Linked DNA regions of Astyanax mexicanus. The protein of the gene in region 1 interacts with the protein of each later gene in a pairwise test. Links are inferred from orthologs where the notes say so. Each region holds a gene or a part of one and is shown on either strand. Other genes may lie near its edges. The genes, in order: retreg3, map1lc3a and abhd16a.

Evidence for each region.
Region 2: the proteins of retreg3 (region 1) and map1lc3a interact in binary tests that used the Homo sapiens proteins (3 or more experiments, as listed by UniProt). The link is inferred for Astyanax mexicanus from reciprocal best matches to the Homo sapiens genes RETREG3 and MAP1LC3A.
Region 3: the proteins of retreg3 (region 1) and abhd16a interact in binary tests that used the Homo sapiens proteins (3 or more experiments, as listed by UniProt). The link is inferred for Astyanax mexicanus from reciprocal best matches to the Homo sapiens genes RETREG3 and ABHD16A.

Annotation. Positions count from the first base shown.
Region 1 is NC_064426.1:23,157,103-23,160,860, forward strand, and holds the start of retreg3 (reticulophagy regulator 3), read left to right. Parts: upstream 1-816; 5' UTR 817-1,374; coding exon 1,375-1,616; intron 1,617-3,758. UniProt on the Homo sapiens protein: Endoplasmic reticulum (ER)-anchored autophagy regulator which exists in an inactive state under basal conditions but is activated following cellular stress.
Region 2 is NC_064431.1:33,920,412-33,924,169, forward strand, and holds the start of map1lc3a (microtubule-associated proteins 1A/1B light chain 3A), read right to left. Parts: upstream 2,400-3,758; 5' UTR 2,273-2,399; coding exon 2,233-2,272; intron 1-2,232. UniProt on the Homo sapiens protein: Ubiquitin-like modifier involved in formation of autophagosomal vacuoles (autophagosomes). While LC3s are involved in elongation of the phagophore membrane, the GABARAP/GATE-16 subfamily is essential for a later stage in autophagosome maturation.
Region 3 is NC_064413.1:5,137,254-5,141,011, reverse strand, and holds the start of abhd16a (phosphatidylserine lipase ABHD16A), read left to right. Parts: upstream 1-1,036; 5' UTR 1,037-1,075; coding exon 1,076-1,177; intron 1,178-1,651; coding exon 1,652-1,708; intron 1,709-3,012; coding exon 3,013-3,079; intron 3,080-3,758. UniProt on the Homo sapiens protein: Phosphatidylserine (PS) lipase that mediates the hydrolysis of phosphatidylserine to generate lysophosphatidylserine (LPS). LPS constitutes a class of signaling lipids that regulates immunological and neurological processes.

The DNA.
Region 1 (3,758 bases):
CATTTTGCTGGATTATTTATTTTTTTTAGGTGGCGGGAATGGGCTTCCATACTCATCAGGGCAAGTTAAACATTACATAATTTTTTTCCCTCAAACCTTGACTACCTATATAAGCTAGCTAATTCCAATGTTAATCTATCTCACTAGACACCAGCTGCATTTTATTAAACACACAGTAGGTTTGTTCTGTGTGTTTTGATTCGTATCTTTTTAACCAGCTATCAGAAACAATCTAATCACAGTTTACATGGTTTGCTCCGTTACCTTCCTCTTAGAAAAATCGTTGTATATCCATATTAGTTTTAAACATGAGCTGCTGCTGCTGCAACACGCTGCCTAAAGTCACAGGAAGGTGGGACCCACTCACACTCTCACCCGTAAAACCAGCAAGCTGATTGGATGTTTCTACTGAAGGCGGTACTTTATCCTTCTGCCGACTCCATCATTGGCGTTAAGACGTTTCACATTTACATAGCAGTCAGTGGCCTGGCTTCCAATTAATACTTAATCATTAATTTATAATTTTTTCAAATATAAATATGTACAGGAATATACTTGAAGACGGCGGTATGTTTCCAGGTCAAACGGGTATGACACACATACACTTACAAAAAAAAAAAAAAGACCAAAGGACACTTTTGGCAGTAGGAGCCAAACGGGCATGTGCTCCAACCACCTCCGCCCCCCCCTCCCCCCCTACGTTCATTGAACTCATCACAATGAAAGCACCGTTCCCTCTCAATGATAGTATCTCCGCCACCAGATTTGCGGGTGAATCACTGATTCACAGATCACACAGCAGTTACCCTGCCCGCCTGCACGGTCGCTGCTGAGCTCAACTACTGAACTAAGAAAGGAACGAATCAGCTGAGGGAGTGATTCTATTCAGTAAATGAGTCTTTCCAGTCAAATGATTCGTTCGCAAACGACACAACACTACTGTAGACGTTAATCCTGCTCTTTCATTGGCTGCAGCTGTAGCCCGTCCTCCTTCTCCGTCCCTTCGGCTGGAAGACAAACAACAACTGTCAGAGAAATGGAGAAATGACGGCGGAAAAATAAGACATTACCCTCTGCACATGGAGTTTACAGCCGCTTCTTTTAAAACAGACTGAATTCAGGGAGATATTTAAGCTCAAATGTTCAGAGGAATCGAGACAGCGTTTCACCCAGTTGAGCTGTAGCTACTGTAGGCTTAGCTCTGAGCTAAGCTAGCTACGCTAAGCAGCGCTAACAGCTAGCTAACTACCAAGTTAACGTTGGAGAGAGTTTTATCTATATTTATTCATTTTTTTATGTATAAGGACCCCACCCTTTGTTTACATTATTAGTATCATTATTTTTGGCGTAGTTCTTGAACGTAGCTAGCCAACTATGGCGCAGAACAGTGGAGCTGGGGATGCTAGCGGGGCCACAGGAAAGCGCTGCCCAAGTTCGGGCCTCCGGAGTCGGCATCGGTCGGGAGAGAGGGACGGTCAGGTTCGGGCTGTGAAAGCCATGCTGCTGGAGAGACTGGGACCGTATGAGCGGCTGGTGACCTACATGCAGGCGGTGCTGGTGTGGGAGAGACCTTTCCACAGTGTGCTGTTCCACACTTTGGTCAACGTTGTGTTCTGGTGAGTTTTAGCTAACCTATTAATACAGTAACACTGAGTTAGTTGACCAGGTATGTTTGTTACCTAAATAACTAGCTAGGCTAACTTATTTACCCATGTTGTTAATATTATGGTCACTATAGATACAAATGTATGTTAGCTAACTTACACACTGGGTATGTTATTTTGTGTATAACTATTAAACTAGTTGTGTATATCTAGTAAATTAGCTCTTTGAAGCTCGTCCATTACCAGTTTAATGTCAATAAATGGAAAAATATCTACATGTAAGCTTACGTTATCTGGCTAGCTAACAGTGTAGCTACTGTGTTAGCTAGCTAGCTAGCATCGCTGTCAACGTGTAGGTTCAGAAACGCTTCTAGCTAAACAGTGATCGTCGATACCAGAGGTGGCCAATTAAAATTAAAGGACTAATCAGGTGTGACTATTTTGGAGAGCCGGTGTTCTGTCGAGTTATGCTACCTTGTCAAACCGTGCTACCCTAATGTATATATATAACTTTAAAAATACAAAAGAAGCACCATATTAGAGCATGTTATCAGTACAAATTTAAGTAGATTTAAGTAGAAAATTTTTGGAGTGCTTAAATCATGGTAAAGTTATGGATGTGAGGGGTCATATCAAACTAATTTTATATATTTTTTATTGTATTTATTATTACTATTATTGATTTTCATTAGCAATTATATGCAATAACAGTGAGTGCAGGTTGTATAACGCACAAAAAAAAATAGAGAAAAAAGATTTATTATAAAAAAAAAAGTCAGCACATACCCAGTGCCTTTAGGAAGCATGGATCAATGGGTAGCATAACTAAGACAACACTAGACTGTTTGGTTTAGGGCTGGACCATATGGAAAAAATCTATATTGTGATATTTTTCTTAATTTCAAAGGATACTTTGTACAGTTCCAATATTGATGTAAACAGTATAAAATGTTCTATCATGCACTGAGAGAGCTCAAAAGCTTGGTCAAATATCTCAATATTTAAAGATATTTTCACTTTGATATAGGAATTATATTAGTGTCTGCCAATGTTTTATTTTCTTTTGCCAATATTTCAAGCTAATACTTTGCACCGATGTATTTATTGTATGCTGGAAAAGGACTAAGTGACTTCAATTAGACAACACTAGCTTTGCTAATTTAAAATCCATTGATTTTAAAATTAAACTAGTTTTAAATATTTTTTTCTAGTTTTTAAGTTATAGGGCCCTATTTTACATCCTGTGCAAGATGTGTCCAGTGCTCATTGCTATGTTTCACCCTGCACCTTTGTCATTAAATAGTAAAGATGCTTGCGAATATATCTATGCTGATGACGTGGTGTATTGCCACTGACTTATTAACACTGAAAACCATGTCCATACCTTTCATACCTTTCATGGTAAGACAATGCACGTACACCACCAGACCACCAGACTTTCCCCATGGGTGAGATGTTGGTCATTAAAAGAGAATGTAAAAATTGTATTATTCATAATGCAATTTTGACACAATAATAATAATAACACAGATTCACATTATGTCAAAAAAAGTGGCAGGGAAACCTGAACATTTAACTGTTTCTTTAAGGTCATGGTCACTATAAATACAAGTGTATGTTTCATAGGTTAGATTCTGGATAAATAGCTTTTTGAAGCACGTTCATGCCCGTTTATAATGAACTTTTGGCACAGTGAAAATAACAACTGTCTGAGTCACATTATGGATGAGCTTTGGAACCAAACACAAGACCCCAAACAGATAGAAACCATCTAAAGTGAACATTGCTTCAGGAAAACATGTATCCATAGGTGGTTGAACTGCCTTGTTTATCCTCTTTGCTGATGGCATGTTCTACTTAACTGTCTAATTTGGCACATCTCACCATTAACATTTTTACCCTCCCTTGATTTATCTGTTAGCATGAGTGTGTGAATGTGTCTGCTTTTCAGCTTCTGTGTTAAAGAGACAGATGGCACCTATATTTAGGCCAGCAGTAAAGGTTCAAGTGAGCTGCTGGAAAAGTAAGAGGCTGCTGGAAGGCTGAGGCATCAGTTCAGCTGGTTTGAAAAGACCAATGGAATACTGCAGTTTTAATTTTCCATGTATTAGAGCTCTCCAGTTGGAAGAACCTGTTGGAGCAAAGGTCTTGTTT
Region 2 (3,758 bases), on another chromosome or scaffold:
ATGGCATGAAATAGAGGTGTTTACTCTGTATATAGTGCCCCACATTTGGGCATGAAATGGAGGTATTTACTCTAAATGTAAAGACATATAAATAGAGGTGTTTACTTTGTATATAGTGCCCTACATAGGGCATAAAACAGAGGTATTTACTCTTAATGTTGAGCACTATTTAGGACATACAATTTAAATATGTACTCAATATATAGCGCTCAACATAGGACATGAAATAGAGGAATTTACTCCTAATGTAAAGAAATATATAAGGCATGAGAAGTTTATTCTGTATATAGTGTTCTATATTGAGCAAGAAATAGAGAGATTAATTCATAACGTAAAGAAATATATAGGGATAAATTAGAGGTATTTATTCTGTTTAAAGAGCTCTACATTGGCCTTAAAATAGAAGTATTTACTCTAAATGTAGAGCCCTATTTAGGGTTAGGATTAATTATTAATGTAAAGAAATATACAAGGCATGAAATAGAGGGGTTTACTCTCTATATAGTGCTCTAAAAAGTAATGAAATCATTTAAATAGACTTTTTAGGATTAAGTTTAAGCACCTAACCTAACATAGGTTATATTTTTATCTAGCTAACCTACTTAGTGCACTGGGTCCCCCTTAAGAAATCAGGTATTTAGGATCAATTTAGTTCGCTAAAAGCTTAAATAATAATTTATCATGTAGTTAACTAATTAAGTTATCCTAAAACACACATATAAAGGTTAGTTCTAATATAGCTTTAACCTACAGCTCAATAAAAACAGTAAAGTGCCGTTTTGGGCAAGTTAATGCTAAGCTAATGCTAAGCTAACGCTATAGCTACGTGTTGAGGTAAAGTAAATAAGGGCCTCAGCGGATTCATCGCGTAAAATGCACGATACTGAAGACCAGATACTAAAAATAAAGACATTTATGAGACTAAATTAAGTCAGACAACACGTTTGTTCACTTTAAGTTAGCTAAAACAGCAAAACTTGGCTTATCTTGCTAGCTAGGTTAGCTAGTTTGTCAGGTTAAAAGCTAACGTTAGCTTGGCTAAGCTAAAAGGCCTCTAGCCACCAGGTTTTAATAACTTTAATAACTTCTATTTTTATGCTACAGTGGACAATATAACTCTATAATACGCACATTTTCGTCTCCTCTGTGTACTGGGGATAGCTTAATGTCTTTCTAGATTTTTTAACCATACTGTTATAACGCTATCTCCCTTAGTATTGATAAATTATCGGTATGTTTGCACATACAGCTCTGTAAAAATCGCTATTTATTGGTTTATGTTTGAGTAAAATGAACATTGTTGTTTTATTCTATAAACTACAGACAACATTTCTCCCAAATTCCTAAATAAATTACATTTATTTCCCTGCAATGTGCTTTAACGTGACCCATAATAAGGAGAATTATGGCTGGCCAAAATATACATAGAGTTTTTCTTCTGCAAATACAGCTCTAAAAAAAAAAAAAAAAAACAAGAGACCACTTAAAAAATTATGAGTTTCTTTGATTTTACCAAATTAACCTCTGGAATATAATCAAGAGAAAGATGGATGATCACAAGCCATCAAACCACCAAACTGAACTGCTTGAATATTTTTTTGCACCAGGAGTAAAGCAGTATAAAGTTATCCAAAAGCAGTGTGTAAGACTGGTGGAGGAGGAGAACATGATTCCAAGATGCATGAAATTAAAACTGTGAATTAAGCTTTATGAATATGAACTAGTTTTCTTTGCATTATTTGTACTGCCATTTCCCTTTTTTTGCAATACATAATAAATGTTATAAATGACAATAATGATAATAATGTTGTCTGTAGTTTATAGAATAAAACAACAATGTTCATTTTACTCAAACATAAAGCTATAAATAGCAAAATCAGAGAAACTGATTCAGAAACTGAAGTGCTCTCTTCATTGCTTCCAGAGCTGTAACGTTATATTATATAATAGGACATGAGCTAAACTAAACCGTAGAGACTCTATTTTAGATAAAACAAGTAAGTACTAAAAGTAGATATAAACACACCGGCTGAAACTTGAGACGTTAATAGGCTAGCCATGTATATTATTTAGTAACGTTAGTTACAACATTATAACTATCATTGGCTTTATGTTTATTAACGTAACGGTTAAATCTCTCACTGTTCAGATTATCAGACTAACCAAAACAACACAGTCTGATAAACATTAAAACACATTAAACAGCTTCTACCCGCTTATATATAAACTCACCGAAGCTCCGCCGCTGTTTGAAAGGTCTATCAGAAGGCATAATTGTAGTTTAAGATGAATAAAATAACAATAATAATCTGTAGTTTTATTCCTCTCTGTTTTTATTATTGTTCTGATCCTCGTCAGCAACTCCGAGCCAGAGGCGATAAAGACATGCGCAGAACGCCACGGAGTTTTAAAGGGAACAGCGCCAAAGAGCCTGAACAGCCGAGAACTCCCACTCCAGAATGGGTTCGGATTGATGGATGGATGGATGGATAGATACGTTCACATTACCAGTTTGAAGTGACTCCAATCAAATTTTTTTCATGGCTGTGTGAACGTGCCAAATCTAGATTTATGCCAATCAGATCTGAGCTTTAAAAATTGGCTTGGAAAAGCAAGGGGGAGAGGCAGCAGATAGATTTACTTTTGCAGTTTTTTAGCTGTTTATAAACTTCTTTTTTTTTTACGTTATTAGCATGCTTTTTCAAGCCGAGACTTAACACTTATTCATTAACAAAATTTCACCCCTTTTTAAGAGAGCGGTAAGCAGAGAGGCATCAGACATTTCCCAATTGAAATCCATTCAAAAGTGTCTGTAAACTTTTGTCAGAAATGTAAACTACTCTAAAAGAAACAGTTATTTTTAGCTAGAAACGTGATAATCTGTATACTTGTTGTACTGTAAGCTTCAGTGTTAGTTCTAGCCGAAAACTCCTGTGCTAGTCACTCGTATCTTAATCAATCACCAGCTTCTGCCTTCCTGGTAGAACTTGCACTTTTCCAAGCAAGCTTGTAAAAGTCTGTTCACATACTTTCTCTCCTAGTTCTAATTTGAGTATTTAGCCGTTTAGCTCCTTTTACCCTCATTCATTAAAGACTCCCTCACGTGCTTCCTCTAGCGTTTTTTTAGTAGATGCTTTCTGCTATAAAGGAGATGACCGGAAGTAGCCAGTCTCTGCATGAACCAGCTGTGGCAGCACAGTCCTGCTTTTTTTTTTCAGGAGGATACAAAATAAAAGCAGCCGTGTCAAAAATATGAAACTGCCCAATAAAATATATATATATATAAAAATACAAATAAACGTAAATGTAAAATAAAAATCTAATAAAACTACATTTGTATACAATATTGTATTTTTACAATATGCAATAGTGTATATGTGTTAAATACCAACACCATCACAGATTTTTTTAAATCTGGTAAAAGTCCTGTTAAATGTTCTGGTACATGTAAGTTCTGTGTTATTCCCACATAAACATAGCACATAAAGTTATAAATTTCATGTTTTGGTAGATTATTTATTTGTTGCTTCCTGGTAATACATCTTACACTGTTGGAAGTCAGTTAATTACTCTTTTAAATGGACCCTGTGCAATCCATCTTAATGAGTTTCAGTTACATTGGCCACAATTGTCCTTCTTCCTTCAGCCGCAAGACACAATTCATACAGGCTTTACTGCATTTTACATCCTATTAAACTAATGGGTAATGCACGTTAGCCGTGTTAATCCACTTTACTTGTAAATTAACGATAACTCCA
Region 3 (3,758 bases), on another chromosome or scaffold:
TTATACTTAAAAATAATAATAATAAAAAAATAATAATAAAAATATATATATATATTTATTATTATTTTTTTAAGTATAACGCAAATGCATTACTTTAATTAAAAATTTTCAAATGTATTTTATAAATACTTTACAAATATATATATATTTTTATTTTTATTTTCTTTTTTTTTTCTAATGCATTTCACACATATAGTGATTCATGCACATATATTAATTTCTGCCTACAAACATTTGACAAATAAGTTGAAATACGAAGAATAAAAGAGATAACTATTGTGAAAACACCTCAAAGTTATTTTAAAGATAATAAAATGTCTAAAATAACTTTTAAGCATCTAAAAAAATTATCTTAAAATAATGAGAATTTTTCCAAAGAGAAGGCTTCTTAAAAGCAAATAAGCATCATTGCATTATTGCACTGCCACTTATCTGCATCTGCACTTATCTGCATCCTTAATGTGTGTGTGTGTGTGTTTGACTTTTTTCAAAATTATGAAACTATTATTGCCTCAAATATTGCAATTTGTGTATGTACTAGATTTTTTTTTACATTAAAAGCATTAAAAGCATAAATGATCAAACTGCAGTGTTTGTAGCTCAAAAAAGGTGATCACTAGTTTGAAATGTTGCTGAACGCTTAATTTTCCATGTTTTTCAAATGGGGAATATTAATAATAATAATGAAAGACTTAGATTATAATGCATAAGCATTATAATGTGTTAAAAAACAATTTATGCAGCTATCACCTTAAATATTGCACATTGCTTATGTAGTGGATTAATTAATTTTTTTTTACATTTAAAATAACTTTTTAAAAAACATTGTTTGTCCTTATATAAAATTGTCAGAAATAAGATGTTAATTTTTTACAGATGTTTAAACAGGAGTTTAATAAGGTATAGCCTCTTACCACCTGCAGTATTTGTGCATATATATTAATATATAGCATATATAACTGTAGAATTGAATAGAATTTAATGTACACATCACAGTTTTATATTTACAGTTTTGAATGTTTTGAATTAGCTCAGTTCACCCACTCCGGCTTCCGTAGCCGTCGACCGAGGAAGGATGGCCGGCTGGTTGTGGTTCCGCTGCCTGTTCGGGCCCAGCCTGCACCGGATCCACCGCCCGCTCGAGCAGCCCCGACCTGAGGGAAGAGCCGGGAGGCGGGTACGAGCTGATCCCCTTCTTAACAGCCCGCAAAACGGGCTAAAACTCGGGGTTTGGGCTCGTTAAGAGCCGCTAGGGAAGTGCAGGGCTTTGAGTTGACAGGCTAACCTTAGCTAGCACTGTAGTTAGCTAACTAGCTAATGTCAGTCTGTCAGAATAACTGTAAATGTACACAAATTAATCACTGAAATTAGGTTTTGAGAGTCTTAACTATCAGTTAGGATTATAAAAGGGAAATCTGAGACCTCTCTGATAGCTGTAGTTTATGTTTTAGATAGATTTTCAGCATATTCCCAAGTCTTATTTTTAATCTCGCGTTCCACCTTAAATGCTCCTGCTGTAGCGTTATCATCCTGAGGCGCCAGAATGTAACAAGAGTGCCATTTAAGGTGGAACGGATAGTTCGAGTAATAGGGGAAAGTGGCTGTTTTGCTGTTTTTATTCTGTGCATTAAAATCACTGTCACCTTTACAGGGTTGGGATTATCAGCCGAAAACTTTGGAAAGACACACAGACAGTATCCTCGGTTGGGTAAGTCCTTTCTTACTTACTCTTAAAATCTTAAAGCTTTACCCTCCATGGCTTTAATTGTATTTTTTGAAAGATTGAGAGCCCCTGTGGATATATACAATTAATATAACCAAAATGTTTGTTTTGACTTTTAATAATCTTTTTTTAACTTTTGATAATATTGTTTTGACTTTTGATAATTGGATGTTTTAGAGCAAGGAAGCATAAAACACTGTTTATTAAGTTTACAACAAGAATCTAGTAAGACTATAAGCTGCCATATATATATATATATATATATATATATATATATATATATATATATATATATATATATATATATATATGACCCACTTGTACATCTCATTGTGTTAGATGTAGACATGCCATGTAACATTATATAAAAAAAAAAATAAATAAAACAAAAGCATAAAATTAAAGTACAGTATGGTGTAATAACCAAACTATACTGGTTTCTTTTGGTATATTGGGACTAGGGGTGGGCGATATGGCTCTAAATTAATATCACAATATTTCATGGTATTTTCACGATAACAGTACTTTTGGCGATATGACAAAACATTGAATTAGAAAAAATATTTAGAATTGTATTATTGCATGCAATATGGTATGGCTAACTGAGATATTAAAAATAAAAAAAAATCACATTTGTAACAATGTCATAATACTAGTAAGGCACTTTGAATATCTTCATATATCCAGGATTTAAGTAAAATAAATTATACTAGACAGATATAATCTGTCTCTAGTAGATATATAATGGGAAATGAGAACAGTGTGAATTTTTCTTTTGCTAAAAATGGCAAAAAAGTAGTACTCTGACGCGATAATTTGGGGGTAAGTGATATGGCATGATATTTCAGGGTATAATATCGTTGACGATATTTAAAATTTTTTGGCAATATTATCACGTACGATACGATATGGCACACCCCTAATTAGTACAGTCATGAAAGAGCTGAAAAACTCATGGAATTTCAAAATAGAAATTTTCAGGCCTGGATATGTTTCGGAATGTGTTTTGGAATGTATGTTTAAAATGTAAGAAGTAAAAGAGTTCACATAATTGTGTGAGGAGTAGAAGTAGAAGTAAAAAGTCGTCTAAAGAATAATTACTCCAGTAAAGCATAGATAACCAACATTTCTACTTAAGTAAGGTAATTAACTGTTTTTACTTGGTTAATTGATACCTCTGTTCAATTCTGATATGATTTCAGATCAGATTTGTTTATTAAAAATGTTCCAAAATTAACAGTGTGCTTCTATCACTTATATGTTAATGTTTTTTTTTTTTGTCCCTTCAGGCCTCAGCACTGTGGTCCCTGTCTTATTACAGCTCTCCTCTCATCCTCTGCTATCTGTACAGGAAAGGTAAACACTACTAACAGCTACTAGTATAGCAGTAATCCAGCTCAAGTTAACAAGCTAGTTAATATAGGCTAGGCTAATATAGCTAACAACTAGAAGTGAGCAACGTGATGATGATGATACTAAGGCTGCTACTGAGGCTTATTTTAGTAGGCGACAAATCTACCAATTATTGTTTCGATTCGTTAATTAGTCATAATTATTTTTGCCATGCGCTACATTGTGGTTCGTAGTCTGGAGGATTATGTTCCAATGCATGTTTTACAGCATCTTTACAGCTAAACCTTTTGAGTCCTAGACAGATTTTGCAGGACATAGTAATAGTTTATGAGGAACCCTTACTGTTCCAGTTACCCAGGGTGATATTAGCTAGGGGTTTGTACCATGTAGCTTGTTTTAACCTGGTAAACACGCAGGCTACAGTCCGATATACTCAACTCTGAACGGCGAAAGAGCTAGCGCTTAATGAGCAAGTTCTTAGGCTAATGCTGCTCCAGCAGTGTTTACCGGGGTTAGCAGCAGGCTACAGGCTGAGAATACTGACCCCTGAATGGTGAAAGAGCTACTGCTTAGCGTGGTTAGCGGCTAATGCTAATACTGCTCCAGTCTCGGTGCTGGAGAAACTTCACTGAAACTCCTGTGAAACATTGTACTTCTGCAGAGTGGCTTTACTGCTCCTTTT